Linked DNA regions of Coturnix japonica. The protein of the gene in region 1 purifies or fractionates together with the protein of each later gene. This does not show direct contact. Links are inferred from orthologs where the notes say so. Each region holds a gene or a part of one and is shown in the gene's direction. Other genes may lie near its edges. The genes, in order: SMAD4, BTRC, TRIM33 and SMURF2.

Region 1 (7,545 bases):
GTTATAGGGTCTGGTTATAGGGTCTGGTTATAGGGTCAGGTCTGGTTATAGGGTCTGGTTATAGGGTCGGGTTATAGGGTCGGGTCTGGTTATAGGGTCAGGCCTAGTTTGAGGCCTACTTCCGGGTTTTTAGGCCTCACTTCCGGGTTTTAGGCCTCACTTCCGGGTTTTAGGCCTCACTTCCTGTTTATAGGCCTCACTTCCTGTTTTAGGCCTCACTTCCGGGTTTTAGGTCTCACTTCCGGTTTTAGGCCTCACATCCGGTTTCCCCCACTTCCTGTTTCCCCCACTTCCTGTTTCCCCCCACTTCCGGGTTTTTAGGCCCTACTTCCGGGTTCTAGGCCCTACTTCCGGGTTCCACCCCCACATCCGGGTATTTTTTCCCTACTTCCGGGTTTATTGCCCTATTTCCGGGTATTTACACTCCACTTCCGGGTTTATTACCCCACTTCCGGGTTTTTTACCACTATTTCCGGTATTTCTGCCCCACTTCCGGGTTTCTCCCCCTACTTCCGGGTTTAATTGCACTACTTCCGGCTTCTTTGGGCCTACTTCCGGCTTTAAACCCCCCCACTTCCGGGTTCTGACCCCCACTTCCGGGTTCTAAACCCCACTTCCGGTTTTGCCAACACTCCAGCCCCACTTCCGGCCTTTTCACCCCACTTCCGGTTCGATTTGCACTACTTCCGCCCTTCCTCAACCACTTCCGGGTTCTCAACCCCACTTCCGGTCAGTTTGACCTTACTTCCGGGTTTATACCCCACTTCCGGTCTTATTACCCCCCTTTAAGCCCCCTTTTAATTCCCGTGCGGGCGGCGACGACAACCAAAAAAATAAACCAATAAAAAAAAATAACGAAAAAAAAAACCCGCCCGCCCGACTCGTTTTTTTCACCCCGAACCACATTGACGCCCCAAATCCCCGGATGTTCCCTCAAACCGGAAGTGACAGCAACAAAATGGCGGCGCCGCGAAGACCCGGATGTTCCCCCAACCCGGAAGTGACAAGCAACAAAATGGCGGCGCCGCGAAGACCCGCGTGTCGCGCATGCGCACTAGTTCTTTCGCATTATTCCGTCATTTTAAGGCCTAGAAACACCGGACAAAGCCCGTCCGCCATCTTGGCCCTTCCCGGTTGATGACGTCACGTCTTACCGTGTGTCCACGACGCCTCAAGACCCGGATGTAGCTTAGGCCGCTCCCCGTTGTGCGCACGCAACATGGAGGCGGCTCTTAAGGCCGCGCCGCGAGTGCCCGGATGTTGCGCATGCGCACCTCCAAACCCGGAAGTGCCTTCCAGATACCCGTATGTAACTCAAACCCGGAAGTCCCTCCAAATCCCCGGATGTACTGCGGGTTCCCAACCCGGAAGTCCCCGGATGTAACTCAAACCCGGAAGTCCCTCCAAGTCCCCGGATGTCACTCAAACCCGGAGGTCCCTCCCAGATCCCCGGATGTACTGCGGGTTCCCAACCCGGAAGTCCCCGGATGTAACTCAAACCCGGAAGTCCCTCCAAGTCCCCGGATGTCCCTCAAACCCGGAAGTCCCTGCAAGTCCCCGGATGTACTGCGGGTTCCCAAACCCGGAAGTCCCCTCTAAATCCCCGTATGTAACTCATGCTCACTCCCAAACCCGGAAGTCCCCTCTAAGTACCCGTATGTAACTCAAACCCGGAAGTCCCTCCCAGATCCCCGGATGTACTGCGGGTTCCCAACCCGGAAGTCCCCGGATGTAACTCAAACCCGGAAGTCCCTCAAACCCAGAAGTCCCTTGTAAGTCCCCGGATGTAACTCAAACCCTGAAGTCCCTCCCAGATCCCCGGATGTACTGCGGGCTCCCAACCCGAAAGTCCCCTCTAAGTACCCGTATGTAACTCAAACCCGGAAGTCCCCTCTAAGTCCCCGGATGTACTGCGGGCGTCCAACCCGGAAGTCCCTTCTAAGTCCCCGGATGTAACTCAAACCCGGAAGCCCCTCCAAGTCCCCGGATGTAACTCAAACCCGGAAGTCCCTCAAACCCGGAAGTCCCTTGTAAGTCCCCGGATGTCCCTCAAACCCGGAAGTCCCTGCAAGTTCCCGGATGTACTGCGGCTTCCCAACCCGGAAGTCCCCTCTAAGTCCCCGGATGTAACTCAAACCCGGAAGTCCCTCCCAAATCCCCGGATGTACTGCGGGTTCCCAACCCGAAAGCCCCCTCTAAATACCCGTATGTAACTCAAACCCGGAAGTCCCTCTAAGTTCCCGGATGCAGAAGTCCCTCCCAAATGCCCGGATGTAACTCAAACCCGGAAGTCCCTCCCAGATCCCCGGATGTACTGCGGGTTCCCAAACCCGGAAGTCCCCGGATGTAACTCAAACCCGGAAGTCCCTCTAAGTACCCGTATGTCCCTCAAACCCGGAAGTCCCTCCAAATCCCCGGATGTAACTCAAACCCGGAAGTCCCTCCCAAATCCCCGGATGTACTGCGGCTTCCCAACCCGGAACCCCCCCTAAGTACCCGGATGTGCTGCGTCCCTCCATCTTAGCGGCCTCCATCGGGCTCTCCATCGTTCCCGGTGTCCGCCATGTCCATCTCCACCCCCCCCAGCAGCAACGACGCGTGTCTGAGCATCGTGCACAGCTTAATGTGCCACAGACAGGGAGGAGAGAGCGAGACCTTCGCCAAACGAGCCATCGAGAGCCTCGTTAAGAAGCTGAAGGAGAAGAAAGACGAGCTGGATTCTCTCATCGCCGCCATTACGACCAACGGGGCTCACCCGAGTAAATGCGTGACTATACAACGTACATTAGACGGGAGGCTGCAGGTGGCTGGGAGGAAAGGGTTCCCCCATGTGATCTATGCGAGGTTATGGAGGTGGCCCGACCTGCATAAGAATGAGTTGAAGCACGTCAAGTATTGTCAGTACGCGTTTGATCTCAAGTGTGACAGTGTGTGTGTCAACCCGTATCATTACGAGAGGGTGGTGTCGCCTGGGATCGGTGAGTACAATGGGGTCCTATGGGGTCCTATGGGGTCCTATTGGGGTCCTATGGGGTCCTATGGGGTCTATGGGGTCCTATTGGGTCCTATGGGTTCCTATTGGGGTCTATGGGGTCGTATTGGGGTCCTATGGGGTCCTACAGGGTCCTATGATATAATGGGGGGAGATACGCAATTTGTGTAAGGGAGGCCATAGGAAATAATGGGGGAGATACGGAGTTTGCGTAGGGGAAGTTACGCAATTTGCGTAAGGGACTAGGGAGCCAATGGGAGGAGTTACGCAGTTTGCGTAAGGGCGGGGGGTTCGATAATGGGAGTTACGGAGGTTGCGTAAGGGAAGTTACGTAGTTTGCGTAAGGGACTATGGTGGTTAATGGGGGGGGAGTTACGCAAACTGCGTAAGGGGCTTCTATGGAGTCCTATTGAGTTCTATGGGGTCCTATTGAGTTCTATGGGGTCCTATTGAGTTCTATGGGGTCCTATTGGGTTCTATGGGGCTCTATGGGGTCCTATTAGGGCCTATGGGGTCCTATTGGGGTTCTATTGGGGTCTATGGGGTCCTATGGGGTCCTATGGGGTCCTATTAGATCCTATGGGGTCCTATAGGGTCCTATGGTGTCCTATTGGGGTCTTATGGAGTCTGTGGGGTCCTATGGGGTCCTATGGGGTTCTATGGGGTTCTATGGGGTCCTATTGAGTTCTATGGGGTCCTATTGGTTTCTATGGGGTCCTATTGATTCCTATGGGGTCCTATTGATTCCTATGGGGTCCTATTGGTTTCTATGGGGTCTTATTGGGGTGTATGGGGTCCTATTAGATCCTATAGGGTCCTATTGAGTTCTATGGGTTCCTATGGGGTCCTATTGGGGTCCTATTGAGTTCTATGGAGTCCTATTAGATCCTATGGGGTCCTATGGGGCTCTATGGGGTCCTATGGGGCTCTATGGGGTCCTATTGATTCCCATTGGGTTCCTATAGGGTCCTATTGGGGTCTATGGGGTTCCTATTGGGGTCCTATTAGATCCTATAGGGTCCTATTGAGTTCTATGGGGTCCTATAGGGTCCTATTGAGTCGTATTGGGATCCTATTAGATCCTATGGGGTCCTATTGATTCCTATGGGGTCCTATTGAGTTCTATGGAGTCCTATTGGTTTCTATGGGGTCCTATTGATTTCTATGGGGTCCTATGGAGTCCCATTGCATCCTATGGGGTCCTATGGGGTCTATGGGGTTGAAGCACGTCAAGTATTGTCAGTACGCGTTCGATCTCAAGTGTGACAGTGTGTGTGTCAACCCGTATCATTGGGGTCCCATTGGATCCTATGGGATTCTATGGGGTCCTATGGGGTCCTATGGGGTCCTATGGGGTCGTATTGGGGTCCTATGGGGTCCTATCGGGTCGTATTGGGGTCCTATAGGGTCCTATGGGGTCCTATTGAGTTCTATAGGGTCCTATGATTTAATGGGGGGAGATACGTAAATTGCGTAAGGGAGGCCATAGGAAAGAATGGGGGGAGTTACGCAATTTGCGTAAGTGAGGGCTCAGGTTACGCAATTTGCGTAAGGGAGTGCGGTAGTTATAATGGGGGGGAGATACGGAGCTTGCGTAAGTGGGAGTCGGGTTACGCAATTGACGTAAGGGAATAGGGGTTTATAATGGGGAGGAGTTACGCAATTTGCGTAAGGGACTACGGGGTTTATAATGGGTCCTATTGGGTTCTATGGGTTCCTATGGGGTCCAATGAGGTCTTATGGGGTCTATGGGGTCCTATTAGATCCTATGGGGTCCTATTAGATCCTATGGGGTCCTATGGGGTCTATGGGGTCCTATGGGGTCGTATTGGGATCCTATGGGGTCCTATTGGGTTCTATGGGGTCCTATTGAGTTCTATGGGGTCCTATTAGGGTGTTATTGGGATCCTATGGGGTCCTATGGGGTCCTATTGGTTCCTATGGGATCCTATTGAGTTCTATGGGGTCCTATGGGGTCTTATGGGGTCTATGGGGTCCTATAGGGTCCTATTGGGATCCTATGGGGTCCTATTGGGTCCTATTGAGTTCTATGGGGTCCCATTAGATCCTATGGGGTCCTATTGGGGTCCTATTAGATCCTATGGGGTCCTATTGAGTTCTATGGGGTCCTATTGAATCCTATGGGGTCCTATTGGATCCTATGGGATCCTATTAGATCCTATGGGGTCCTATTGATTCCTATGGGGTCCTATTGAGTTCTATGGAGTCCTATTGGTTTCTATGGGGTCCTATTGAGTTCTATGGGGTCCTATTGATTCCTATGGAGCCCCATTGGTTCCTATTGGGTCCTATAGAGTCCTATTGGATCCTATGGTGTCCTATTGGGTCCTATAGGATCCTATGGGGTCCTATTGAGTTCTATTGATTCCTATGGGGTCTATGGGGTCCCATTGGATCCTATGGCGTTGAAGCACGTCAAGTATTGTCAGTACGCGTTTGATCTCAAGTGTGACAGTGTGTGTGTCAACCCGTATCATTACGAGAGGGTGGTGTCGCCTGGGATCGGTGAGTATTGAGATACGCAATTGGCGTAAATGGAGGTTGGGAGGGTGGTTAAATGGGGGGAGATACGTAAATTGCGTAAGGGAGGCCATAGGAAATAATGGGGGGAGTTACGCAAATTGCGTAAGTGTGGTACGTAGTTTGCGTAAGGGACTATGGAGCCAATGGGGGGAGTTACGTAAATTGCGTAAGTGAGTAGGGCTTTATAATGGGAGGAGATACGGAGTTTGCGTAAGGGAGGGCTCAGGTTACGCAATTTGCGTAAGGGACTACGGGGTTTATAATGGGTCCTATGGGGTCCTATTGAGTTCTATGGGGTCCTATTGAGTTCTATGGGGCTCTATGGGGTCCTATTGGGATCCTATGGGGTTCTATGGGGTCCTATTAGGGTCTTATTGGGGTCCTATGGGGTCTATGGGGTCCTATTAGGTTCTTATTGGGGTCCTATGGGGTCCTATTGGGGTCCTATTGAGTTCTATGGGGTCCTATTAGATCCTATAGGGTCCTATTGAGTTCTATGGGATCCTATTAGATCCTATGGGGTCCTATAGAGTCCTATGGGGTCCTAGTGAGTTCTATGGGGTCCTGTTGGTTTCTATGGGGTCCTATTGGGTTCTATAGGGTCCTATTGGGTCCTATTGAGCTCTATGGGGTCCTATGGGGTCCTATTAGGTTCTTATTGGGGTCCTATTGAGTTCTATGGGGTCCTATTGGGGTCTATGGGGTTCTATGGGGTCCTATGGGGTCCTATTGGGGTCCTATTGATTCCTATGGGGTCCTATTGAGTTCTATGGGGTCCTATGGGATCCTATGGGGTCCTATTGAGTTCTATGGGGTCCTATTGGTTTCTATGGGGTCCTATGGGGTCCTATTGAGTTCTATAGGGTCCTATTGAGTTCTATGGAGTCCTATTGAGTTCTATGGGGTCCTATTGAGTTCTATGGGGTCCTATTAGATCCTATAGGGTCCTATTGATTCCTATGGGTTTCTATGGGGTCCTATTGAGTTCTATGGGGTCCTATGGGGTTGAAGCACGTCAAGTATTGTCAGTACGCGTTTGATTTGAAGTGCGATAGTGTGTGTGTCAACCCGTATCATTACGAGAGGGTGGTGTCGCCTGGGATCGGTGAGTAAAATTACGTAATTTGCGTAAGGGAGGCCATAGGAAATAATGGGGGGAGTTACGCAGTTTACGTAAGGGACTATGGTGGTTAATGGGGAGGGAGATACGTAAATTGCGTAAGGGAGGCCATAGGAAATAATGGGGGAGATACGGAGTTTGCGTAAGGGAAGTTACGCAATTTGCGTAAGGGACTATGGGGCCAATGGGAGGAGTTACGCAGTTTGCGTAAGGGCGGGGGGCTCCATAATGGGAGTTGCGCAATTTGCGTAGGGGGAGTTACGTAGTTTGCGTAAGGGTGTATAGGAGTCAATGGGGAGGAGTTACGCAAATTGCGTAAGGGGGTTCTATGGGGTCCTATTGAGCTCTATGGGGTCCTATTGGTTTCTATAGGGTTCTATGGGGTCCTATTGAGTTCTATGGGGTCCTATTGAGCTCTATGGGGTCCTATGGGGTCCTATTAGGTTCTTATTGGGGTCCTATGGGGCTCTATGGGGTCCTATGGGGTCCTATGGGGTCCTATTGGGATCCTATGGGGTCTTATTGGGGTCCTATGGGGTCCTATTGGATCCTATGGGGTCCTATTGAGTTCTATGGGGTCCTATTGATTCCCATTGGGTTCCTATAGGGTCCTATTAGGGTCTATGGGGTCCTATTGAGTTCTATGGGGTCCTATGGGGTCCTATTGGGATCCTATGGGGTCCTATTGGTTCCTATGGGGTCCTATTGGTTTCTATGGGGTCTATTGGGTCCTATTGGGTTCTATGGGGTCCTATAGGGTCCTATGGGGTTCTATGGGGTCCTATTGAGTTCTATGGGGTCCTATTGATTCCTATGGAGCCCCATTGGTTCCTATGGGGTCCTATTGAGTCCTATTGGATCCTATGGGGTCTATGGGGTCCTATTGGGT
Region 2 (6,786 bases), on another chromosome or scaffold:
GGGAAAAGATGGTCTTTGGCTGTCATTACACTTGTCTTCCTTTAGAAGCAGTATTCCTCCTGCTCATTTCCACTCATCTGCTGAGCTTGTGTGACTTGCTGACAGAGCTGTATGGCAAGTCAGATCCAGGTGCAGATGCAGTTGAAAAAAGACTCTTTTTTTCCCTGTGTTCTTTTTCAATTTGACCGGTTTCACAATCTGTTTCAGCATTGGTCACATAAAGGGTTGTCAGAGGAGGCAAAAGCAAAGGTGAGTGGGTAGGAGTCACTTGAGTTTTACTGCTGTGATCCTGATTTGCTGCATTAAAGCTGAGGAAAATCCAGTTCCTGTGTAGACTAAAACAGAGCCTGGGAGTGCTGAGGACTGATTTTGGAAGCTGATTCTAGTACAGTATGGCAAAAACCTTCGGTGTGCTATGTCCCAAGCTGTGAACACTTTCAGGCTATAGTCACAAGTCATCAGAGGGGTGATTTTCCTGGTCTTATGGAAGTGTGTTCTATTAAGAACATTCTAGGTGTACCTCTGTATCATACAGATACCATCTTTTGTTAGTCTCTTCTTAATAATTTTATCTGTGTGGTTTCACCTTTCCTGTCACAGGTATGGAACACTAGTACCTGCGAATTTGTGCGCACCTTAAATGGCCACAAACGAGGCATTGCATGTCTGCAGTACAGAGACAGGCTAGTAGTGAGCGGCTCTTCAGATAATACTATCAGGTGAGAGACACATTCCCCGTTGCAGAGTTCTTTGCAAGCATGTTGTCTCTGATTCCCTGGGATGCATGGAGGTTAGGCAAGCAAAGTGCTCTGTACCCTTGTCTTCCTTGAAATATGCTTCCTTTGGTAGAGAACATTGGGAACTACTGGGAAGAGATATTAGAAGTCTGTTTTACTGTGTTGTCTTTCATCCCCTGTATCTCAGGAGTCCCATACTAATCAACAAGTTCCATTGCTCTGACAATTCTGGTGTATGAAAGAGCTGGCAAGTAACACTTTCTGTGATGTCCTCTTGTGATATTTTAATTGGGCTATGTGTCTAGTTAAAGGGGTCAGATTTGCAGTAAGAGGCATTTAATCCTCTGCAGAAATCCTCCTGGGCTCTGGCCAAGCTCTTCTTGTGGTACTTGGCACCGGGTTAAGTTTGGAACAGCTGGTTTAGAGCATGAAGTTCAGTTTGCTGCCTTTTGCACTTCTCCAGCTGCCCTTGCTGCAATCTGAGATTTAACTCCTTCTGGTATCGTGAGCCAGGATTTCTCCCTACATCCAGCAGCTGCTGGCAGAGGGGTGCCCCACTTATCTCTGGGAGTACTCAGCAAGCTGGAATAGGAGTGTAAGTTGTGTGGGGAAGCGGCTCTGTCGTTCAAGCAGGAGGAAGAGGTGCCTCCATTTTGAATTGATCACTGCTTTGAAGAATTGTGTTCCTTCTGATAAAACTGGAAGCCTGGACAGCCTAAGCAGAAAGTCTTCACTTTTGATGTTAGAATTTATTTCTCCTCAGTGAGAGTGATTCACGCAGATGTTTGTCTGTGGACTTTGTTTGCAAAACAGTGCTTCTCCATGCTTTGCGCTCTGGAAAATGGAGGTCCTTTGACAGTCATCACTGGATTGTTGCACTGGGTTTTAGTGTGTGGTTGCCTGAAAGCATGAGCTAAAGAGCTGGGGTGTCTGTCTCTTTATCAAGGCAAAAACTATTAATAGACATTGTGTAAGAGTAGCACCATATATGTAGTAAAAACTCCAGATGGAAAAAATAACCCTCTGCTTCTGTACTATGAAACTTGGTCTCAGAGTAAGAAATAGTTAAATACTGCACCGTTTAGGGAAGGATCTAAAATAGACGTAATACTAATAAAAATAAATGTCAATGTAGTGATAATGCTAAAGAGGAGTGCGATGACTTTTATGCTTACACTGGACAAAATCCCTAACTGACAGATAAATTGTGCTAGAATTTCAGGAATGTTGGCAGTGAATCTTAATGGAAGTCAGATTTGGCAGCTGTGTGGGCAGGGCACAAGGTTTACCTGTTCACGTAGCTTCCTCCCAGCCATTAGCAGAAGGCACATGTCAGAGGAAGAGTGATTAAGCAAGGGCAGGTTACTAAGTCCTCTCCGTGGGTGGCTCGGTGTTTTGCATGTTTGATTTTAATCCATTGTAAAATACCAGATGTTGTGTTGGCCTTTAATAGGGATTGCCTCTTGGTATTGAATTTGAAGTTGGCCATTCCTCGGTTACAGGCAAACTTTTTTTTGCAAAAGGAGCTGACTGTGTGTGATTACTGTGTGATTACTCATTCTTCAACCGTGAAGATAAGGAAGTAGCCGAGAAATCAGTAACTTTCTCCTGTAGAGAGACTCCGTGTATAAAAATGATTTAAGTTCTGTTTTGTTTCTGCTTGGTCCTTTGACTATTTAAAGAAGTAGAAATTTGAGGAGATAACCAAATCTGGGAGGTTCCTTTAGAACCAATTCTAGATATGCTGTTCTTACATAGTTACATACACAGTTACTCCTTTTGTGTGTGGAAGCCCATTGCTCTCAGAGCTAAGGGTTGCAATCGTCTTTTCTAAATCACAGTCAAATTCAGTTAAAAACCTCAGACTAGGACCTGATAATACAAGCCTAATTCAATGCGGAGCAGCCTTGCCAAGCTGCTGGCAACCTCAGGATTGATGGCAAGGAGTGGAAACACATGGCACAAAAGTTCCTGGCACAGGATTGCTCTTCAGACCTTTCTGCACCAATTCATTTCTGGCATTGTGCATCCCATTTGCAGTCCTTGGCAGGAAACGTAATGCTCTCTGACCAGCCAGAGTGCCTTTGGCTGAACTTTAGCATGGATTTGCTTTCTCTGACCTTAACTGGTATGTTGGTGCTAATGCAAAAACCTTTGGAGTCTTCACAGGTTGATGAACACTCAGCTTCACAGACTGAGGAATCATCTTCTGTTCCTCTTTGGCCTCAGATGTGTGACACCTATTGATATGGTTTAGTGGCCGTGGTGGTGATGGGTTGATGGTTGGGCTCAGTGATCTTGGTGGTCTTTTCCAACCTCTGTGATAAACTAACCCTTTCCCAGTGCAGTTATAGAACAGAAGAGTTCTGTTCATTCCCCAGTCTTCCGTAGTGAGAGCAGCTTGTTGTAGCAGGACAGATGAAATGATTACCCACCATCCTCGGGCACACATCCACTGGGTCTGGATTATTCCCTGGGGGACCTCGGGATTGAAGTATGTGGGGACGATTTATCTCTCTCTCAGTTTCTCAAGGAAAAGTGACCTGACCCCATAGCAGCTGTACTTCTTTGCGTGGTGTCACCCAGACAAATTCCGTGAACCATGAACCTCACTACCATGAAGTCCCTGTCAGTCTGAACTCTAATTGAACGAGCATTCAAGAACATCTGTGACTGCTTTTTCTCAGCTGTGTGTCAGAGCCTCAGCAGATACTGCTATTGAAAGATTCCATTTGTTGTGAACCAAGTTCATGTCATCTGGAGGTGGAACACCTGCAAACAGTACATGTCAAGAATTTCAGTTCTTGTCAGCAAATTATTTCTCTTTATCTGTTCTAATTGGGAATCCCCACAAAGAGCTGACAAAAGTATCAAAAAAAAAAAAAATAGGCTTACTTCTTAGAAAATCATTTGAGCACAAGAAGAAAATGCATTACAAATACACATAGAATGCCCATTTTAGCTTATGCATAAGTTACCTTCGTTACAGAGCGAATACACCTTCAGTGGGAGAAAGTGACAAATATAAAGGGCTTGTAAGTTCTTGTACCTTTCACCACTGTATGCACAATTTGTCTGATGTTAGTTTGCAAATCATAAATAGGGCGTGTAGGGGCATAGAAGGGGTGTGTGTCTTGTGAAGGTGCTTTTACCTTTGGAGTAAGGGTCCAGGAGGTCTGGTGAGTCTCTCACTTAACATCTTCAAATCAAAGTGAGATACTTTTATGAAAATCTGACTTAAGTAAAATAAAGTCAGGCTGCTCATGAAGATAACTGGGAGATATCCTGTGTCTTGTGTTAATAGCGAAGTAGATGGTGGGCATGGCTGATCTTAAAATGCTTGGGTATCCGAATAATCCCCCACGTGATACTGTCACATAACAGAGTCTTGTTGAAAAACATGCATTAGTTGAACTGCAGGAAAAGGAGTGATGAATAGTTTGTTTGTTCTTTGGTGCTTCATCATAAACTTTATCCCCTAGTTTTCATTAACTACAAGCAAAGGCCAAACGTTTCCTTGAAATAATCAGAAATTCAGAAGTTCTCAGTGCTTCTTCCTGATCTCTTCCAGGCTGTGGGATATCGAGTGTGGGGCATGTTTGCGAGTACTGGAAGGCCACGAAGAGCTGGTGAGATGCATACGCTTTGATAACAAGAGGATAGTCAGCGGAGCATATGATGGGTGAGGCTGGCTAATGCCTTGCATCCTCCTGTCTTTCTCAGTGTCTCACATCCCACTTTGCTGGATCTTCCTTATAAGAGTTAGATTTCTTGTCTGTCATACCAGGAGTTTCCTGTCATGGCCAGTAAGTCAGGCTGATTCTACAACATACACCTGTTGTTGTTTCTTCCTTCTCAAAATGTCAGTGTGATTTGATACATGTGGTCCATTTCTTTAGCTCATAAAAATATCAGGTAGACTTGATGTGAAACATCTTCTAGCTCAGCCATTGGTAAGAGCAGTGTTTCCCTTCTGTGGTTGTCTTCTGATCCATTTGCCACTAGGACTAGCGTGCATTAACCCTCCCATATGTTTCTGTTAGTTACTATTGCCTGCTTTTTTTATGTTTTACTTTGCCAACAGCGTATTCCTTTCTCCCTTTAAGTTCTATGAGCATTATGAAGGAGAAGTGCAAGAACTACAGGAGCAGGATTCCTGTAATTTTCCTTGAGCTGCTGTATCAGCTCAGCTGCACTAACAGCTTTTTGTTTGTTCTCTTTTCCTGTGAGCACTTCACCTTTCCTTTTTAACAGAGATGTGTGTTTCTCTATTTTTTTCACTACTAGGAAAATTAAGGTATGGGATCTGGTGGCTGCTTTGGACCCCCGTGCTCCAGCTGGGACTCTCTGCTTACGAACCCTTGTGGTAAGAGCATTGGGTAAGGGTGGTGAAGGGAGAAGGAAAGTGTTCTTGCTCAGGGCTGTCTTGAGCCATGGAAATTCAAGTCAGTTTAGCACCAGCCTGCAGGATCTAAAAGTCATTTCTAGAGATCTGGCTTCTTGATTTGAAGTTAAGAACTAAGTCATTTTTGAGACTTGTGCTTGGAATTCATGTGTTGGTGGCTTTGCTTAACTGTGCCTTTTTCCATGAGCTGTTGGCAGGGAGTTTCTTAAAGAAAAGCGGTAAATTCCAAAATCTGATGGGGAAAATAAACACACAAAAACAACCTTTTCATTTTCACCTGCACCCTCATCTACCACCCAAATTTCACTAAAGTATTTTGCTTCACATTTTGCACAGGCTCTGAGGGTTGACAGGCAGTAGGTCATTAAGCCACACTAGCTCTTCTCCAATCCTATATTTGTACCATAAGCTGCAGAGTAAGAGTCAGTGAGAGCCTTGGATGCCTGCAGATGCTGTGTTGAAAAACCTCCTTGGTAGCCACAGAGAACTACAAATAGTTTCATGGCTGAAATCCAGAAAACCTTTTTGTCATCAGCCACCCAGCTGCAAACTGTGGAACAGCTCTGTGCCCATGAACACGTATCCCGAGAGTCCAAGACTTCAGTGTGATATTAGTGGTGTTTCTGCTCCAGCCCGAGACAAATGTGTGCCTAGTAACCTGTAGACTTAATTTAACTGGTGCGATTTCCTCTGCATTTTCCAGCAGTGGACAGCCAAAGTGCCCCAACTAATTGTATTATAAATCAGAAGCGGTGGGATGGAAACACTGTAGGAATCTCGACACATGGATACTCATAAATCCCTGTTTGATAGCGATGGAGGAGGCCAGAAGAGGAGGGGCAGAGGAGGCTGTCGTAGTGCTTTTAGGGCTTTTCATGTTTATGACAACAGGGCGTCCTTATACCCGCTTACCCATAGTTGTGGTGGTTTTTTTTTCCCCCTCTCTTCTCTCGGCCTCCAAAATTAAACCTGGCTGCACAATGAACATCGTGAGTCTCCCGCTGCTCGTGTTCAATTTTCAAACAGTAGGAGGAAAGTGCACAGATAACAAATGCTCTCTGCGTGCCAGGTCCCTCCCGTTAGCTGGAACAGCAGCCACACGAGTGTCACAGAAGCTTTCCAGGCACAGAAAAAGCAAACAGCACAACTCTCCTTCTGAGCTGAAGGGCCCGGCTTCCTGCAGCCTCAGCTTAGGGTGTGCAGTCTGCTTATTGTCACTGCAAATGCAATGGGGATGGCTGCATGGAACTTCTAGGGCAGTCTTAGCCTACAGTGGCTGAGAGGAAAAAGGCTTTTCAAAATAGTTTGTAGAAACACTTCTCTCTTGGTGCATCTGCTAAGGGTCTATCAGTGGATCTGGCCATTGTAGTGATATTTTTTAGCAAGAATTGCTTTACTTCACTGATACAATACAGGGATACAGGGTCTGGAAATGCTTTTCTTTTTAGTACTGAGTAAACCCATGAAGTGCTTGTAAGGTGCACTAGGGTTATTGGGTCAGAAGACCAGGAAGGTCCCAATGATTGGGCTCTATAATAAAATTGTCATCAAAATAGAATCTGATTTTGGATTGTGTGTATTTGATTTAGAGCTTCAGAGGCTCCCTATAAGGCAGCTGTTCTGTTCTCTCCGTGTTTTTAAACC
Region 3 (7,450 bases), on another chromosome or scaffold:
TGGCCTTACACACACAATGTTAACGCCTGAGGATCTCATCCATCTCTTCTATCTCTTTAGGCCTTTTTGAGGTCCGTGCCTTGGAGTATTTGGAGAGCATCCCCGAGTCTGAGCCCACAGGGATGAACAGAATCCTTCGCACTCTCGGTAAAGAGACACCTCATTTATTTAGCTTATTTCCCTGCAGTATTTCGCTTTGTGCACACATGCTGCTTTCCTTTGCCTCTCCAAGGAGGCTGTGGGAGCCCCATCCCTGCAGGCATTCAAGGCCAGGCTGGATGTGGCTCTGGGCAGCCTGGGCTGCTGGTAGGTGACCCTGCATATAGCAGGGAGTTAGAACTAGATGCATTGTGGCCCTTTTTAACCTTTTTAACCTTTTTAACCCAGGCTGTTCTGTGGTTTTATGTGTGAAACTGTCATTCAGCGTCCAAATGATGCGTCTCGAAGGCTTAACGTGCTTTTTTTCTTGTTGTTTTTCTTTTCTGTAGGAAGTAAGATGAGATTTCTCCAGAAGAAATGAACGTGGAGCCTCAATGAGGCGGTTGGACAACCAACCCCATCCCGGGGCCGGACTCATTGCTCCCTGTGCAGCTGAGGCGGCTCCGTGCCGCCATAACACGCCGCAGTGCCGCAACCAATCAGCGTGTCCTCTCCTCTGTGGGCGGGGCGGGATGAGGGCGGGGCCGCGCCGTGAGTCTAGGCCTGGGGTGTGCGCATGCGCGGTAGTGGTAACCATCATGGCGGGGCCCGGGCTGGTGGCGGGGGACGTGGTGGTGGATGCGCTGCCGTACTTCGATCAGGGATACGAGGCGCCGGGCGTGCGGGAGGCGGTGAGTGCGGGCCGGGTCGGGCCGAGCCGGGTTGGGCTGGGCTGAGCTGAGCTGAGGCGGTGCGATCCCGGCTAGGCTGCGGCTCTGGTGGAGGAGGAGACGCGGCGCTACCGGCCCACGAAGAACTACCTGAGCTACCTGCCGGCACACGACTGCAGCGCCTTCGAGGTGAGCCAACACGGCCAGCCGCCCCTCAGTGCCCCTCATTGCCCCTCATTGACCCTCATTGACCCTCAGTGCCCCTCAGTGCCCCTCAGTGCCCCTCATTGCCCCTCAGTGCCCCTCATTGCCCCTCAGTGCCCCTCACGGCCCCTCACGGCCCCTCACAACCCCTCATTGACACTCACGGCCCCTTATTGCCCTCTCCCTGCAGACCGAGATCATGCGGAACGAGTTTGAGCGCCTGGCGGCCCGGCAGCCCCTGGAGCTGCTCAGCATGAAGAGGTGAGTGAGGGGGGGCTCCTGGTCTGGCTCTGGGTGGGATCCGAACCGTGCTCCGTTCCAGGTATGAACTACCGGCTCCATCCTCCGGGCAGAAGAACGACATCACGGCGTGGCAGGAGTGTGTTAACAACTCCATGGCGCAGCTGGAGCACCAGGCAGTGCGCATTGAGAACCTGGAGCTGATGTCCCAGCACGGCTGCAACGCCTGGAAGGTGTACAATGAGTAAGGCTGGGGATGGAGAGACAGCATGGGAAATGGTGGTGTGGTGGCTGCAGATAATGCTGTCCTGATCCTCCTCACCTGAAGCCACTGTTGAAATGGCTAAGAAACACATGGAAGTGTGGCTTTGAGAAGCTCTGGGGCTGTTTCAGACAGCTGCTTGCCTTTAGTGGATGGCTGCATGCTGGGCTCTTCTAGGAGGGTTATATGTGAGGCTGGTTAAATTGATCTTATTTAGTAACTGTGTGTTTTTTCTCTTGCTTTGCTTCCATTCTGCTCTCAGACACCTGGTTCATATGATAGAACAAGCCCAGAAGGAGCTTCAGAGGTTGCGGTGAGTGGTTTTTCATAGCTCTATACAGAGGTTGGAAGGGATATAGAAACTCCTACTTTGGGGTAGGAGCTTCCAGGGCAGCCAATTTCAAACTGCATTCATGAGTAAATGAGATGAAGGAGGACAAGACCAACACAGGTCTCTTCATGTTGTTTTTTTCCCCTCAGGAAAAGCATTCAGGATCTGAACTGGCAACGAAAGAACATGCAGCTGACAGCAGGAGCGAAGCTACGAGAGATGGAATCCACGTGAGTAGCTGGGATTTATTCTAACACCCCCTTACGGGGAACAGTGCTGTCATAGCAAACCATCACACGGCTGCTATTGGTTTGCACAGGGTGCTTTAGAGGGTGCATGGTTCAGCTCCGTGTTGATGGTTTTTAGCCCTTTTTTCCTTACAACGTTTCATTTCCTGCATTATACATTGAGGTTTAATAGTTGGAAGCATCTTGTAACCTTGTTCAGGTTGCTCCTGCTGTCAGCTGAGCTGTGTTGGGGCTGATGTTGGTGTTGTGCTTTGTTATGGCAAACACCTTAATGCTCTATGAATCATTCCCTTGCAGCTGGGTGTCCCTTGTCAGTAAGAACTACGAGATTGAACGGACCATTGTACAGCTGGAGAACGAGATATCCCAGATCAAACAGCAGCACGGGGAGGCCAACAAGGAGAACATCCAGCAGGACTTCTGAACGCTGCTCCCTCCTGAACTCCGTGTTTGTACGTTTCCTACGGCGCTGTAATAAACTGCTTTGCCCAATAAAGGCTGCTTATCTCCCCTCCTGGCTGATAAGGGCTGTTCAGCGCCGGGCTTATCAGCAGCTTATCAGCAGCGCTGCGACTTGTGGCTGCGGCCTCCACCCGCGTGGGGGCGCTCGCGGCCGGTCGGTAATTGCGTTTGAGAGGTGTGGGCGGCGCTCTATCCGGCGGTGCGTCACGTGACGTCACGTCTCGTCTGTCCACGCCTGCGCGCGCCCCCGCCCCGCCCTCCCGCCGTGGAGCGCGCACGTCGCGTGGTGACGCAGTGCGTGAGCGGAGCGGGGAGTTGGGTTCAAAGGAGGAAACATGGCGGAAAACAAAGGAGGCGGCGGCGGCGGGGAGGGGGCGGCCGAGCCCGGGCCGGGCGGAGCCGGCTCCATTGAGCCCGCGGCCGCGTCCCCTTCGGCTGCGGCGCCGCCAGCGCCATCCGCGGCGCCTCCGGAGGAGCGGGAGAGCCCCGGAGCGGCACCGGCGGCGGAGCGTGGGCTCGGGGAGGCCGAGGCCGAGGCGGGGCCCGGGGTGGTTCCTGGGCCGGGCCCCAGCCCGGTTCCCCCGCTGACTCCGGCGGCTCCGGGGCCGTTCTCGCTGCTGGACACCTGCGCCGTGTGCGCGCAGAGCCTGCAGAGCCGGCGCGAGGCCGAGCCCAAACTGCTGCCGTGCCTGCACTCCTTCTGCCGCCGCTGTCTGCCCGAGCCCGAGCGGCAGCTCAGCGTGCCCGTACCCGGCGGAGCCAACGGCGACGTGCAGCAAGGTGAGCGGGGCGGCGGGCGCGATACCGGGCTGTGCCGTGTCTCCTGCCGGGGCTGTGTCCGTGACCGCCGGCATTGCGGTGCCGCCATCCCCCGGGCTCTGCTTCCCGGCTGTGGCAGCCGCTCTCTCGTGTCGCCGTTCCACGTGAAGCCGGAGCTCGCACGTCCATGTGCTCGCTGGGGATGGCGGTGTGGATGGCGTCGTGCTGCTTGTTTTGGCTTCCAGGGCTGCAGCGTTAGGGCCGTGGTGCTGCCGGGTGTTGAGCCGTCCGGGGGTGGGACACGCGGGTACATTCTGCGCTATGGAAGGAGGTTGGACTCAGCCCGTGGCCGGCAGGACTGTGCTCGGTGACACCTGTTTGGCTTTGGGAGGGCTCCTCTCTGTATCGTTTTGATGTGTCGTCACACGGCCCACAAGGAATTTCCCGGCCGTGCTGGTTCTGCCGGCCGTGCTGACTGCTGCAAACCGACCATGGGTCCGAGCATCGCTTCCTCAAGCACGAATCTCCCATGGTAGTTTCTAAACACACCAACTGAAGCACTCTGAGCTTGGGATCTTTCTTGTTACATCCAGACTTTGTGTTTTACATGGCGTGTACCGGGAGATGCTCATGAAGTTAGGCTAATTGTACCAGTAATCAGCAGCACTGTGTGACTATATCTGCTGGGGTGCGGGTCCAGCCAAACCACAGAGTTACTGCTAACCTGGAATCTCAATTCTTGTCACCCACATTGTCAGAGTGCTTGATGGTGTGCTGGGCTGAGATAAGGATTCATCTGTTGCTCAGGACCTTACAGATGTCACTAGTGAGGTGTGTGTGCAGGATCCCTGCTGCTGGAGCTGTGTGTGTTAGTGCAGCGGGTCACTAAAGAGCAATGACACACATCTGTAGTATCCTGAGCTGTGAGCAGATGCTTCATGAAGGAATTATTGGAGAATAATATGTGTGGCTATTCCTGTAGTGGGTTATGGGCAACCAAAGGCCATCTCTGTGCTGTGCTACTCTGCAAGCATCCACATTTTCCTGCTATTTTTCTGTGCCTACATAAGCAAATCACAATTGCAATGGAAAATTACTGATTCTTTTGATAGTTTCCTATCGAGTTGTTTTCTTAATTAGTATCAGATTTTTATCCATAAGCACTTATAAGTTATCAATATGTGTATTTATTGGCTAATAACTGTGAAAGCTGCTTGAGTGTGGGTTGGGTACCAGCAGTTTTAGGTCATTGGTTTGTGCATTTCATTTGGTGGGAAGGTGATTTCTCAATGCCTGAAGTTTCATCTGTCCAGCTGTACCCTTAGGTTGAATAGAAGCCCATAAGAAAATGCTCTTGTTGTATTTTTAAATCACAGTATTAAAACCCCTTATTTTTAAGTTAGAGACTTCACAGTGGGGCTGTAGGATTACTTTCTTACCCATCCAGAGCTGCTGCTTTACCTGCACACAGTGGTTATTACGAGGGCTCACTGCTTTGCTGAGGTTGTTGTTTATGCTCTCATAAGATGAGGTCAGTAGAGAGAATGTGTGGTTCTCCAACCCCTTATGAACATCACAACATAGACAGCCTTTATTAGGGTGGAAGCCTAAAAAAGAGCTACAAGATGCTTTCAGAAAGGCCAAGAAAACCGAAGATCAGTGCGTATAGATGTGTAACTCAAGGAAAAAACATAAATTATTTTGAGATGCTGAATTCAAATCCTGTACCCAAGGTTTGGAAACACTGTATTAAATTACATCTTAAATTATGCAGGAACTATTTTTAATCAGCTTTGGAAGGGAGGGGAGATAAAAATGATGTTACAGCCACACAAACGTGACTATCACTTAAATTGAGCTGGATGGTGATTGTTTTCACTAAGGAAAGTTTATAACTACAGCATCTTTAGGAATAAGTGTTTGAGCACTTAAATTCCCAATAGAAGTGGGTGCTTTGTACCTGCAGTCACTGCTATGGATGCTGTCAGCCCCTGAACATGGCAGGCGTTCATTGCTCTGCGGGCTGCTACGTGCCAAGGGTGAGCACAGAAGGGAAGTTGGAGTTGCTGGGTTGCACAAGTGCTTGCCAATATTTCCTGAGCTGTGGAGTTTTATCGTCGTTATGGCCATGCAAACATCTGAAAGGGTTTTGAACTTACTCATTATTAACTTAATGCTTCTGTTTTGGAAACCAGTCTGACGTGTTTCAGCCCAAACCAACCTGTCTTTAAGGACAGGTGTCTGAAATGGGGTTCGCTCTAACAGCATTGAGGGGTGAGGAAGTTGGATTGCTCCTGGGTGGTTTGGTGGAGTTTGGGGCTGCCTCTAATTGAGGTCATAAAAATCAACAGGAAAAACTTAAGCAGTTTCTTTACAGTCAATGTCCTCAAGGATGATGGCAGCACGTGGGTTGCTGAGGCCCACAGGTGTCACGCTGGGCCTGGTGCTCAGTGCAGGCCTGGCCAAGAAGGGCAGCTTCCCTGTTTGCTGTCAGCTGTATGTTAACAACATTTTCTGTTTGCATTGTGATTTGCTGCAGAATGAGGTTGCTTTTCCTCCTCAGTTCACTCCAGTCATACCCTTTCTGACTGACTTCTGTGTCTGTTTTACCTTGGGGTGCTTTTTTACTCCCCATGTTGCAGACCTGGGGAAACTAAAAGAACGCTGTGGGCTGCGTTGGCGATGGCTGAAATGAGCACGAGGATTTTGTGTTTGTTTTTCCTATAACTAAGAAACGTTTTGTGTTTTTCAGTTGGGGTAATCAGATGTCCGATATGCCGCCAAGAATGCAGGCAGATAGATCTGGTGGATAACTACTTTGTAAAAGACACATCAGAAACACCAAGCAGCTCTGATGAGAAATCAGAACAGGTACGGTGCTTTTCTGCTTGCTGGGATTCCCATGCTGGTTTCTTTTCCCTGTGTATGTTAATGCTTTCCAGGAAAGTGATGGCAGCTGACCTTTCTTCCCTTTGCAGGTGTGCACAAGCTGTGAAGATAATGCTAGTGCTGTTGGGTTTTGTGTCGAGTGTGGGGAGTGGTTGTGCAAGACCTGCATAGAAGCTCATCAGCGAGTGAAATTTACTAAAGATCACATGATTAGAAAAAAAGAGGATGTATCGTCAGGTGAGTGTTTGGATATCGTTTAGTCCTGCCTGTGTATACAGATAAGCTTACAGTCATGCTCAGTATAGTCTTACAGCTGCGTTGATGTTGCTGAGTCAATTGGAATTTGAATTCATTCTTAGGTTTTATTTCCTGGTTAGCAAAAATGAATGTGCATTGTGAATGTGCAATTTAAACATGCAGCTTCATTAGGAAAGGTTAATTACTCAGCTACTGATTGACAGTGTTGTTTGCAGTCTACTGAAGTAATGGGGCAAGCATTCCCAGAGCAGGTAGATATAACTCTCCCTGTATAAAGGGGTTAGGTTCAGATTTGCTGTTTTTTTCCATCTAAAATAAGTTAAAATCTTCATGATTGCTCTGTTGCGCTATTGCAGAGTAGTGACGCTGCATTGCTTTCTGCCATTGGTTTTGGCAAAATCTTATTAGTGGTTAAAAACTATTACTGCTAAGCTTAGTTCCTGTGGACAATGATCTTGTTTTGCTTGCTATATCAAGTAGACTTTTAAGATTATTTGACTTTAAATGCATTAACCCTAGTAAGCACTTACCAATTAATGTTAAGTCAGATGAGAGGACTCTGCAGAGGATTGGTAATGTTTTTCATTAGGACTGCTGTGGCCATCAGGGTGATAATATAACCCCATGTACACTGAGTGGGGGGTGCCCCGAAATGACTGTTCCAGTAATGTACTTTATGAAGGTGGAGTCTGATGGCAAGTCCATATGGCAGGGACATAGCTGTGTCAGCTTTCAATTCATGAGCTCTTTTTCTTTACCATAACTTGCATGTCGTAACAACCTTCAGAAATTTTGGGGACTACGATGCGTTTACTTGTTTTAAGCTTTACCTGCTGTACCTTCCAGAAGCTGCTTTCCTCTGTGCCAAGCTCAAAAAAGCTTTACAACACCTTTTTAGTAAATCCAGAAGTGTTTTCAACAGTATCTTTGTGTTTAAGTGGAAAAGTTCTCTAGCTTAGCTGGGACTTAAGTAATTTTATGACCCATA
Region 4 (7,521 bases), on another chromosome or scaffold:
TTCCTTCAAAGGTTTCACTAACACATTACCAACTGCTAAATTATTTCATCCTCCCAGCGTCCTCTACAGATTCCTGAGCTCACTCCCTTTCTACAGAGCCCTTGAGACTGTGTCTCAGCTGCTGACTGCTGGCTGAAGAAGACTGGATGGGACTCCCTTCTGAGTCCAGCAGCAAGCTGTCATCCAAAAAGTGAGCTGTGGGGTGATGCAAGACACTCCCTTCCCTCCGGATCTGAGTTAGCTACCTCATCTTGAAAGGATTTGTGGCTCAGCGATATCGGCTTAGAGTGAAATACAGATCACTTGTCAGCAGTTAATGATAATATTTACTTGCTTACCTCACAAGATCAGCACTGTAAAGTGTGAAACCTCTGCTCACCCTTGAAAATGAACTCCATAAACTCAAAATTTACTGTAAGCTGTTGGCTTAAAGGCAGGATCAGTGAGATCTCTGTTCCATTATTCTGAATGCTTTCAGAACTTGGGGGATAGCACTGGCACAAGAAACAATTTGGATCATAACGGTAATGTGGAATTCTTCTGTTGGAAAAGTAGCACTTTCAATCATCAGGTACTGTCAGTGTTTTTGGTATCCTGCATTCCCTGCAGCTCTTGGCTCTCTGTGAGACTTCCTGACCTCTGCTCATTGCAGATCCTGCACAGATCCTTCATTGAGCTGCTTGTCTTAAATTCCGCTTGGCAATTCTACTCAGCAAAGGGGAGCAATGAATAAAAACTCTAATTTCCCTACAGAAAATTGTGAGATTCCGTGGGGCAGAAGCATCTGTAGAACATCCAGGCTACAGACATTGTAATGCTTATACAAAGCCAGAAAGGAAGAGAAGAGCATTTTGCATCTGGTGCATTTGTCTATTCAAGTGCAACCTGATTGAGATCATTTGTACTCACACGAGTCAAGGATGAAGTCCTGACCTAAACGGGGCAAGTATCATGCCTGCAAGATGCTAACCCCCTCTTCTCTTACTCTATTAGATACATACATACTGAACAGAACTGCCTTGTGTGTGCATGGCAGTAATAAATATTGTGCATTTTATACAGCGACACAAAAGTGTGAGCTCCCAACTGATGCTCCAGCACTTCACAGTATTTTCATTGGAAGCTGAGCAGTCTGAAAGAAGGTTCTCTACTAACATTTGCTATCTCTGTATTTAACAGGCAGCTTTGAAGGAAACAGACACAACCCTGCCTGAGGAAGGACTGCTTTGTTCCCAGGTGAAGGGACATTGGAACAGCAGTGCCACTGCACAGAAAATTTGCACCTGGAAGGATCTGGTGCTTGAGACACGCTATGGGACAATGGAGACGTGAGTCTGTGCATACAGGGGGGGACCCTTTCATAGAACCATAGAATGGCCTGGGTTGAAAAGGACCACAATGCTCATCCAGTTTCAACCCCCTTGCTGTGTGCAGGGTCACCAACCACCAGAACAGGCTGCCCAGAGCCACATCCAGCCTGGCTTCATTTTAAAGGGGAAAACTTTGAGAGCCATATCCTACTTGTGAGGCCTTCAATGGGACAAAATCAATTCCTGCTCCTAGATGTGATTTAATGAGGTCCAAGCCCCAAACTCAGCCAAGATGAGCCAACTCTGGACATGCTAGTTCAGTTCTGTGCTGTATGCAGCTTCAGAAAGTGAACACTGGGCTATGCAGAAGCTACATTACAAACTCTGCAAAGCATTGGTCATCTTTTCATCCCGTGTTTGGATCTTGGTACTCAGGTTGGATCTTAATCTATGACCGCCCTTATAGTAATACTTAACAGGTTGGCTCAGCAGGAAGAAGTCAGTGCAATGACACGACTGAGTGAGATGCATGTGAACATACAGAGCATTAGTAAGGTTATTAGTACGAATAGGTGTGTGGTTTATTAGCTCAGTCTTATAAGGTAAACTTTACTGTGGCAACTTTACAGCTTTTCCGGGAGCTTTTCCCGGCCTTCAGAGCCCGCTTGGCATTGATGTGAGCCCTGCGCTCCCCTCCCTCATGGGAGATGTGCAGGAGCTGGACAGACTGTGGAAGGAGTCACCTTTCCTGCAGGATGGAGCTAAATTAGGCCTCACAATGGGAATGTGAGGCCTTTTTTTTTTATTTTTATTTTTTTTTTGGCAATTAGCACAACCGCGCTGCTCATTTTAAGCAGCACAGACAAGCAGCACATCAGCTCAGAGTTCATTGCTCCCATGGCAAGTCTGCTGTGCCCCATCCACCCAAAATATTGCCCCAGATTGCAAGCACTCCCGCATGGCAGACCTATTCAGTTTAGCCCGGCTTTAAATGTATTCCTATGCTGTTTCTTCTCACGTGTACCTTTGTCCCCCCACCCGTTTCTCTGGCTTCCCTCCTTCCACACCTCGGTAATTCCTCCCGACTCCCCCCAGTCTCGCCGCCACCTGATGCAGCCCCCATGGGGCATCCCGCTCACATCGGCCCCAGCCCCGGGACGGAGCGGGACTCGGGGTGGGCACTCGGCCTCGGCCTCCAACGGAGCACAGAGCAGAGCAGAGCCGAGCACAGAGCAGAGCCGAGCACAGAGCAGAGCAGAGCCGAGCCCGGCCTGCCCAGGGGAGGGGAGGCGGCCGTTCGCTGCTCCGTCCCGGCTTTGTTGTGCTCGCCGCCCGGGCTGCGGGTTAGGGGGCGGGGAAGCGAAGGGAAGGGAAGGGAAAGGAAGGCGGCCGCGTCTCCTCCTCCGCCTCCTCCTCGGCCCCGGCCCCACTCATGGCGACGCTGGGCACATCCGGGCTTCTCCTCCTCCTCCGGCGGCCGCCGCTGCCCTGAGCGCCCGAGCCGACTCCATTAGCGCGTCCCCTCCCCCCCCGTCTCCCTTCCCGGACCCAGAGGCAGGGGGAGCCCCGGGCAAAGCAGCGCCGGGCCCGAGCCGCGGCCGGGGACATGTCCAACCAAGGGGCTCGGAGGAACGGGCCCGTCAAGCTGCGGCTGACAGGTGAGGCTGAGCGCGGCGGCGGGGAACTGCGGCCGGGCCTGCATAACGCTGTATAACAACGCTGCATAACGCTGAATAACGCTGAATAACGCTGAATAACGCTGAATAACGCTCGGGCACGGGGCGAGCAGCAGCGGGGCTGTGCGGGACGGGGCGCGGCGGGGAGGGGAGGGGAAACCCGCGGCCACGGGGGAGCGAGTTCCTGGAGCGGCGGGGAGCCCCGGCGAGCCCAGCTGGAGGGTGGGAGGGAGCGAGCGAGCGGGAGCTCCTCCATGTGTATTTGAGGTTGAACCTGGGCTTGGAGGCGGCTCTCAGGCCTCGTGAGGAGAAGGGGCAAAATACAGACAGCGAACTCTTCCCTCTCCTCCCGTCCGCTCCCTCAGTGAGGGCAGCTCCCCGTGGGCCGCCCGCCTCGGGAACAAAACGCCAGCGGGAGCCGTGTGGTACCGGGCACCTCAGCCCCGTCCCGCCGCCCCCACCGCTGGGTTTCGCTTTTTTTCCTTCGCCTTCTCAGCGTGAACTTGAAAGAAAGTGACACACGCTTTGTTTTCATCTCTTTGTTTGTTTCTTTATATATATATATATTTTCCCCGAGCCGACTTCCTTAGTGAAGGTTGTACACAGTCGGTTTGACACGGTGCCTTGTGTGGGCAGCTTTCTCTCAGAAGACCACTTGACCTCGAATGCTTTAAAATAGCATTAAAAAGCTGCTCACCTGCGTGCAGGGAAGGAAAATACGCTATTTCCAAGCACTTGAAGTGTTATGATCCTTTACATGAGAGAACCAGGTACATTGATCGAGAGAAGGAACACTGGAGCTCTCTTTAAAAAAAAATAAATAATACAGCGAAGTTAATAGGACAGAGCTGCTCCAAAGTGATGTAAGGCCCTCCCCCAGCTGATAAATCCTATCTTGGGTTCCAAAGTGTGAGTGCTTGAAGGTAAGCCGTTAGAAAGCAGGAGATACATTGCTTCAAATACTCTTATTTGCAGATAGTGGGTTTAACCAGCTTGCAAAACAAATATGTTTTAACAAAAACCTGAAGGAATTGGAACATTAACTATAGGCACATCTGAAATATTTCCAGTTTGATGTCATATAAATACAGATGTTTTCATATTTATTTTTTGCAAGCGTGCTGTTTTTATAGAGGAGATGCAATGTATGTTTTGCTGTGGAAGTACCTTGGACTAAATTTATAATGTAATTTTCATTGAGATGTGTGAATGCCTATATAATACAGTGAGAAATGAAATCTGTGAGCTAAATGTGGCTGGGACCGATGCATGGAGCAGTGCTGCCTGTTTGTACAGTGCTTGGGAGCTTTTTCTTCAGGTTACTGCTTTATTGATGCAAAACTTTAATGCTTTTTTTCCCTTTGCTGTGAGTGCTCAGACTTGCTTATCTTCGAAACATTGCGAATAGTCTGGAGCCTTTAGTAAAAGCCTGGAAAATACTGTTCAGGCGGCTGTCTGCTTCACCTTTGGGTTTTGTATTCTGTTGTGTTTTATTTTGATTAAGGATTAAGTACGTCTTCTAATCCTGTCTTTGACAACATAAATATGTCAAGGGGAGTGTAGCTGTGAGCAATAGGCAGTGGTTGTATGTACCGAGTGGTTCCCAAAAGAAGCAGGTACGTTCTTGAGGAACGATTCTGAGTTTTTCATTACCTGTTTTTTAGGAGGGGTGGCTGCAGAGCAATGGATTCAAAGCAAAGTCGCCTTTAGAGAGAGACTGCTCCACTTTTAGCATCTCTGTGCAGGCGCTGAGAACCGGTTCTGTTATTTGGAAGCTTACATGAAATATTGACCTATTTCTCAAGTTAGAAAGACTTGAGGTATTTTGTGCTTTAGCAAACTGCCTGTTGTTTTTTATGCGGTCGTTGGTTGTAGGGAAGCTTTATATGCTTAAGAAAAGTTGTTACAAACATTGGATTTTATTAATTGAGCTGACACGGTGTCAGTCCTTGCATAGGAATAGATCTAAGTGTACTTTGTGGCTTTGATGACCCTTTTTGATTGGAAAAGCAGTTTGAGAGCTCTCAAATTCTAGAACTGTTTGGAATTAAAGGAATCTGTATATTCCAGTGTTTTAAAAAGTTTATTTTCATGCTTGCAAATGCTATATAACCTTAATTTTCTTTGGCTTTATGATGCCAGCAGTCTTCTGTTCTGGCTTGAATATTTATAGGATTAATTCTGTAAACATTGTGTAACACTTATCTTTCCTATTTGTTATCTCTAAATTAGATACTATAGATTGAAAAAAATAAAAAATAAATGGATTCAAGAACTGGATTCAATTAGCAGTTTTTCAGGACATAAACATTAAAGGTTTAGATGGAAAACATTGTTTTGACTGACTGGATAAATGACAGGGTAATGTTTGATGTGAGTCCAAGAGCTGATCTGTAGTAGTGCCCAACTTCTCAGTCGATCCCGAGGAGCCAAATAAAATATTGAACCTAGGCCTCATTTTGCAAAAAAGGTTGATTCTTTGTTGGGACCTTAAGAAAGTTCTGAGAAATGTTTGGCATACCTTTACACTAAGTGTTTAACAGTTTATTTAGGTCTGGGTTCCATAACAGAGAGAAACCACAGCGGTGGCATACTTCTAGTAAGTTTTTATTTGGTTTGCAGTGCATCTGTGTTATAAATGTTCCTTCAGAGGTTCTTCTTCTGCTTGTAGTCGTCATCCGCTCATCCTCTCCCACACTCAGTGTGAGTTTTTTCTGTGTTTTTATTTATTTATGGATTTGTAGATTCGCTGTTCTCCCGACCATTCCCACCCTGAGTGTTAAAGACTGCATTGATCTCATATTCTTCAGACTGAGGAATTAACTTTGCTTTCAGTTGCGCAGTAAATATTTGGTCTCAACCTGTGAATTACCTGGTGTTGGAGCAGCTACATCTGACTGCTCTGACATACAGTAATGGTTGTCTGAGTGAATTCTGTCTGTATCAAACAGATATTTTTAAGTCACTTTGAAATCTTCAAAATTGCACGGCTGCTCAGATGTGAGCTGAATAAAGGTTGATGCGTAATTTAATCTATCTCTGCTCTTACAGCTAGTGCTTGCTGTCGGAATAGTTAACAAGTGAAGATGCTTTGATAGTCACAAAACACGTTTACACCGTACTGTAAAAGGTGGTAACAAGTATTACAGATAATATGGGAATGAGGTGGGCTGTGTTTGTTGGTGAGGCATTGCAGGTGGGTTTTTCCCTCTTACCATAAGGCTTTTGGGTTCCTTAGCAGTTTGGTGATAACTAATAATAATAAATATTTATTTTATTTAGGAATAAAAGCATTGGATCTTTGTAGAAAAGGGGCATCATTTCATCTTCTGCCTCTCTTGTTGATTTTATTGTGTTTTGATGGATAAAGTACCTACCTATATTCTGAAGTATCAAGGTCGTGGTTTTGTGGTTGACTGACATGGTATCAGAGTTGTTTCTTCTGGCCTTGTAGTCTCTGGATCCACTTGGCCCTACCGGGTGTTGCTTCCAGCAACTATGTAGCTAACTGTGTGATGAGTGGAAGGCTAATCTGAGCAAGAAAAAAGGCTTTCGTGTGTTGAAGGGTTGTAGAAGGAGAAACTGAAGGGAGGGCAGAACTGCAGTTTGGACCTGCAGCCTGTATTTAGATGGTCTTTAGTCCACAGTAAAACAATAGGGTTCCTTCAAGGAAGATGTACTTGACTTAATGACACGACTTACTGAAAACTAGTACCTAAGAAATTGGAATTGATATATTACGTAGTAGCATGATTAGATGGCTCCAGTAATGACAAAGTCAATGGGCATGTATGTAGTAAGATCGAATAGGGATTGATGGCCTTCTGTGTTTTCATAAGTGTTGAGTGTGGTTTTTTGTGTATATATAGACATATACTTTAGATGTGTATAGCATTTATAGCTGTGGATATTTCTATACGTATAAATCAGTTGTGGATTGTGATACACAACATAGGATTGTGATAAACAGCAGAGCAGTCTCAACAATGTGTTTCAATGAGATCAGCTTATATGACAAAGTTTTATTCATCTGGATATAAAATTTGTGTTCCGGGTATGTCATGGTATACAGTGGCAAGAAAAGCAGAGATCCAAATGGCTTCGGGGAAGGAAATCAGAGTAGGAAAACCACTCAACACAAGCTTCCAATTAAAGGAGTAAAAACACTCAATATTTGTCTTTGGTTGTAGAATTAGGGAAACATTGTGTAAAAGATGTAGAGATTTCATGTTTGTAGGTGATGTATGGGACGAATGTAGGGGGCAGACAGGAAGTTTGCAGACAGTCCCTGTGTTTAAGAAAGAAATCTGTTGGGGTTGGAAAATAAAACAGAAATGCTGGGGTAGAGAAACAGTGAGTAATTTTAGAGCTGTACACTTGGGTTGCATTTAAAGAGTTTCAGCTATAACATAATGTCTGTCTGCGTCGCTGAGTAACTCAATTAGTGGTGACAAATTCTTCTCTATTTTCATTTTTGTTAATCACTAGAAATCTGAGCAGGCCCCGGATGGAGATGTTGTGTCTTTGTGTCCTTA

The links.
Region 2: the proteins of SMAD4 (region 1) and BTRC purify together in Homo sapiens (affinity purification with western blotting; 7 studies listed by BioGRID and IntAct, with this or other methods). This does not show direct contact. The link is inferred for Coturnix japonica from reciprocal best matches to the Homo sapiens genes SMAD4 and BTRC.
Region 3: the proteins of SMAD4 (region 1) and TRIM33 purify together in Homo sapiens (affinity purification with western blotting; 7 studies listed by BioGRID and IntAct, with this or other methods). This does not show direct contact. The link is inferred for Coturnix japonica from reciprocal best matches to the Homo sapiens genes SMAD4 and TRIM33.
Region 4: the proteins of SMAD4 (region 1) and SMURF2 purify together in Homo sapiens (affinity purification with western blotting; 3 studies listed by BioGRID). This does not show direct contact. The link is inferred for Coturnix japonica from reciprocal best matches to the Homo sapiens genes SMAD4 and SMURF2.

The regions. Positions count from the first base shown.
Region 1 is NW_015439872.1:56,479-64,023, forward strand, and holds the start of SMAD4 (mothers against decapentaplegic homolog 4), read left to right. Parts: upstream 1-2,525; 5' UTR 2,526-2,563; coding exon 2,564-2,978; intron 2,979-7,545. UniProt on the Homo sapiens protein: In muscle physiology, plays a central role in the balance between atrophy and hypertrophy. When recruited by MSTN, promotes atrophy response via phosphorylated SMAD2/4.
Region 2 is NC_029521.1:19,978,606-19,985,391, reverse strand, and holds part of BTRC (F-box/WD repeat-containing protein 1A), read left to right. Parts: intron 1-600; coding exon 601-719; intron 720-4,308; coding exon 4,309-4,419; intron 4,420-5,024; coding exon 5,025-5,103; intron 5,104-6,786. UniProt on the Homo sapiens protein: Substrate recognition component of a SCF (SKP1-CUL1-F-box protein) E3 ubiquitin-protein ligase complex which mediates the ubiquitination and subsequent proteasomal degradation of target proteins. Recognizes and binds to phosphorylated target proteins.
Region 3 is NC_029541.1:3,873,218-3,880,667, reverse strand, and holds the start of TRIM33 (E3 ubiquitin-protein ligase TRIM33), read left to right. Parts: upstream 1-2,875; 5' UTR 2,876-2,891; coding exon 2,892-3,336; intron 3,337-6,067; coding exon 6,068-6,186; intron 6,187-6,293; coding exon 6,294-6,441; intron 6,442-7,450. Other genes in the region: DENND2C (DENN domain-containing protein 2C), read left to right, coding at 61-147, 489-520; BCAS2 (pre-mRNA-splicing factor SPF27), read left to right, coding at 738-830, 906-998, 1,204-1,274, 1,336-1,497, 1,778-1,828, 1,996-2,076, 2,392-2,518. UniProt on the Homo sapiens protein: Acts as an E3 ubiquitin-protein ligase. Promotes SMAD4 ubiquitination, nuclear exclusion and degradation via the ubiquitin proteasome pathway. According to PubMed:16751102, does not promote a decrease in the level of endogenous SMAD4.
Region 4 is NC_029533.1:7,185,184-7,192,704, forward strand, and holds the start of SMURF2 (E3 ubiquitin-protein ligase SMURF2), read left to right. Parts: upstream 1-2,587; 5' UTR 2,588-2,916; coding exon 2,917-2,968; intron 2,969-7,521. UniProt on the Homo sapiens protein: E3 ubiquitin-protein ligase which accepts ubiquitin from an E2 ubiquitin-conjugating enzyme in the form of a thioester and then directly transfers the ubiquitin to targeted substrates.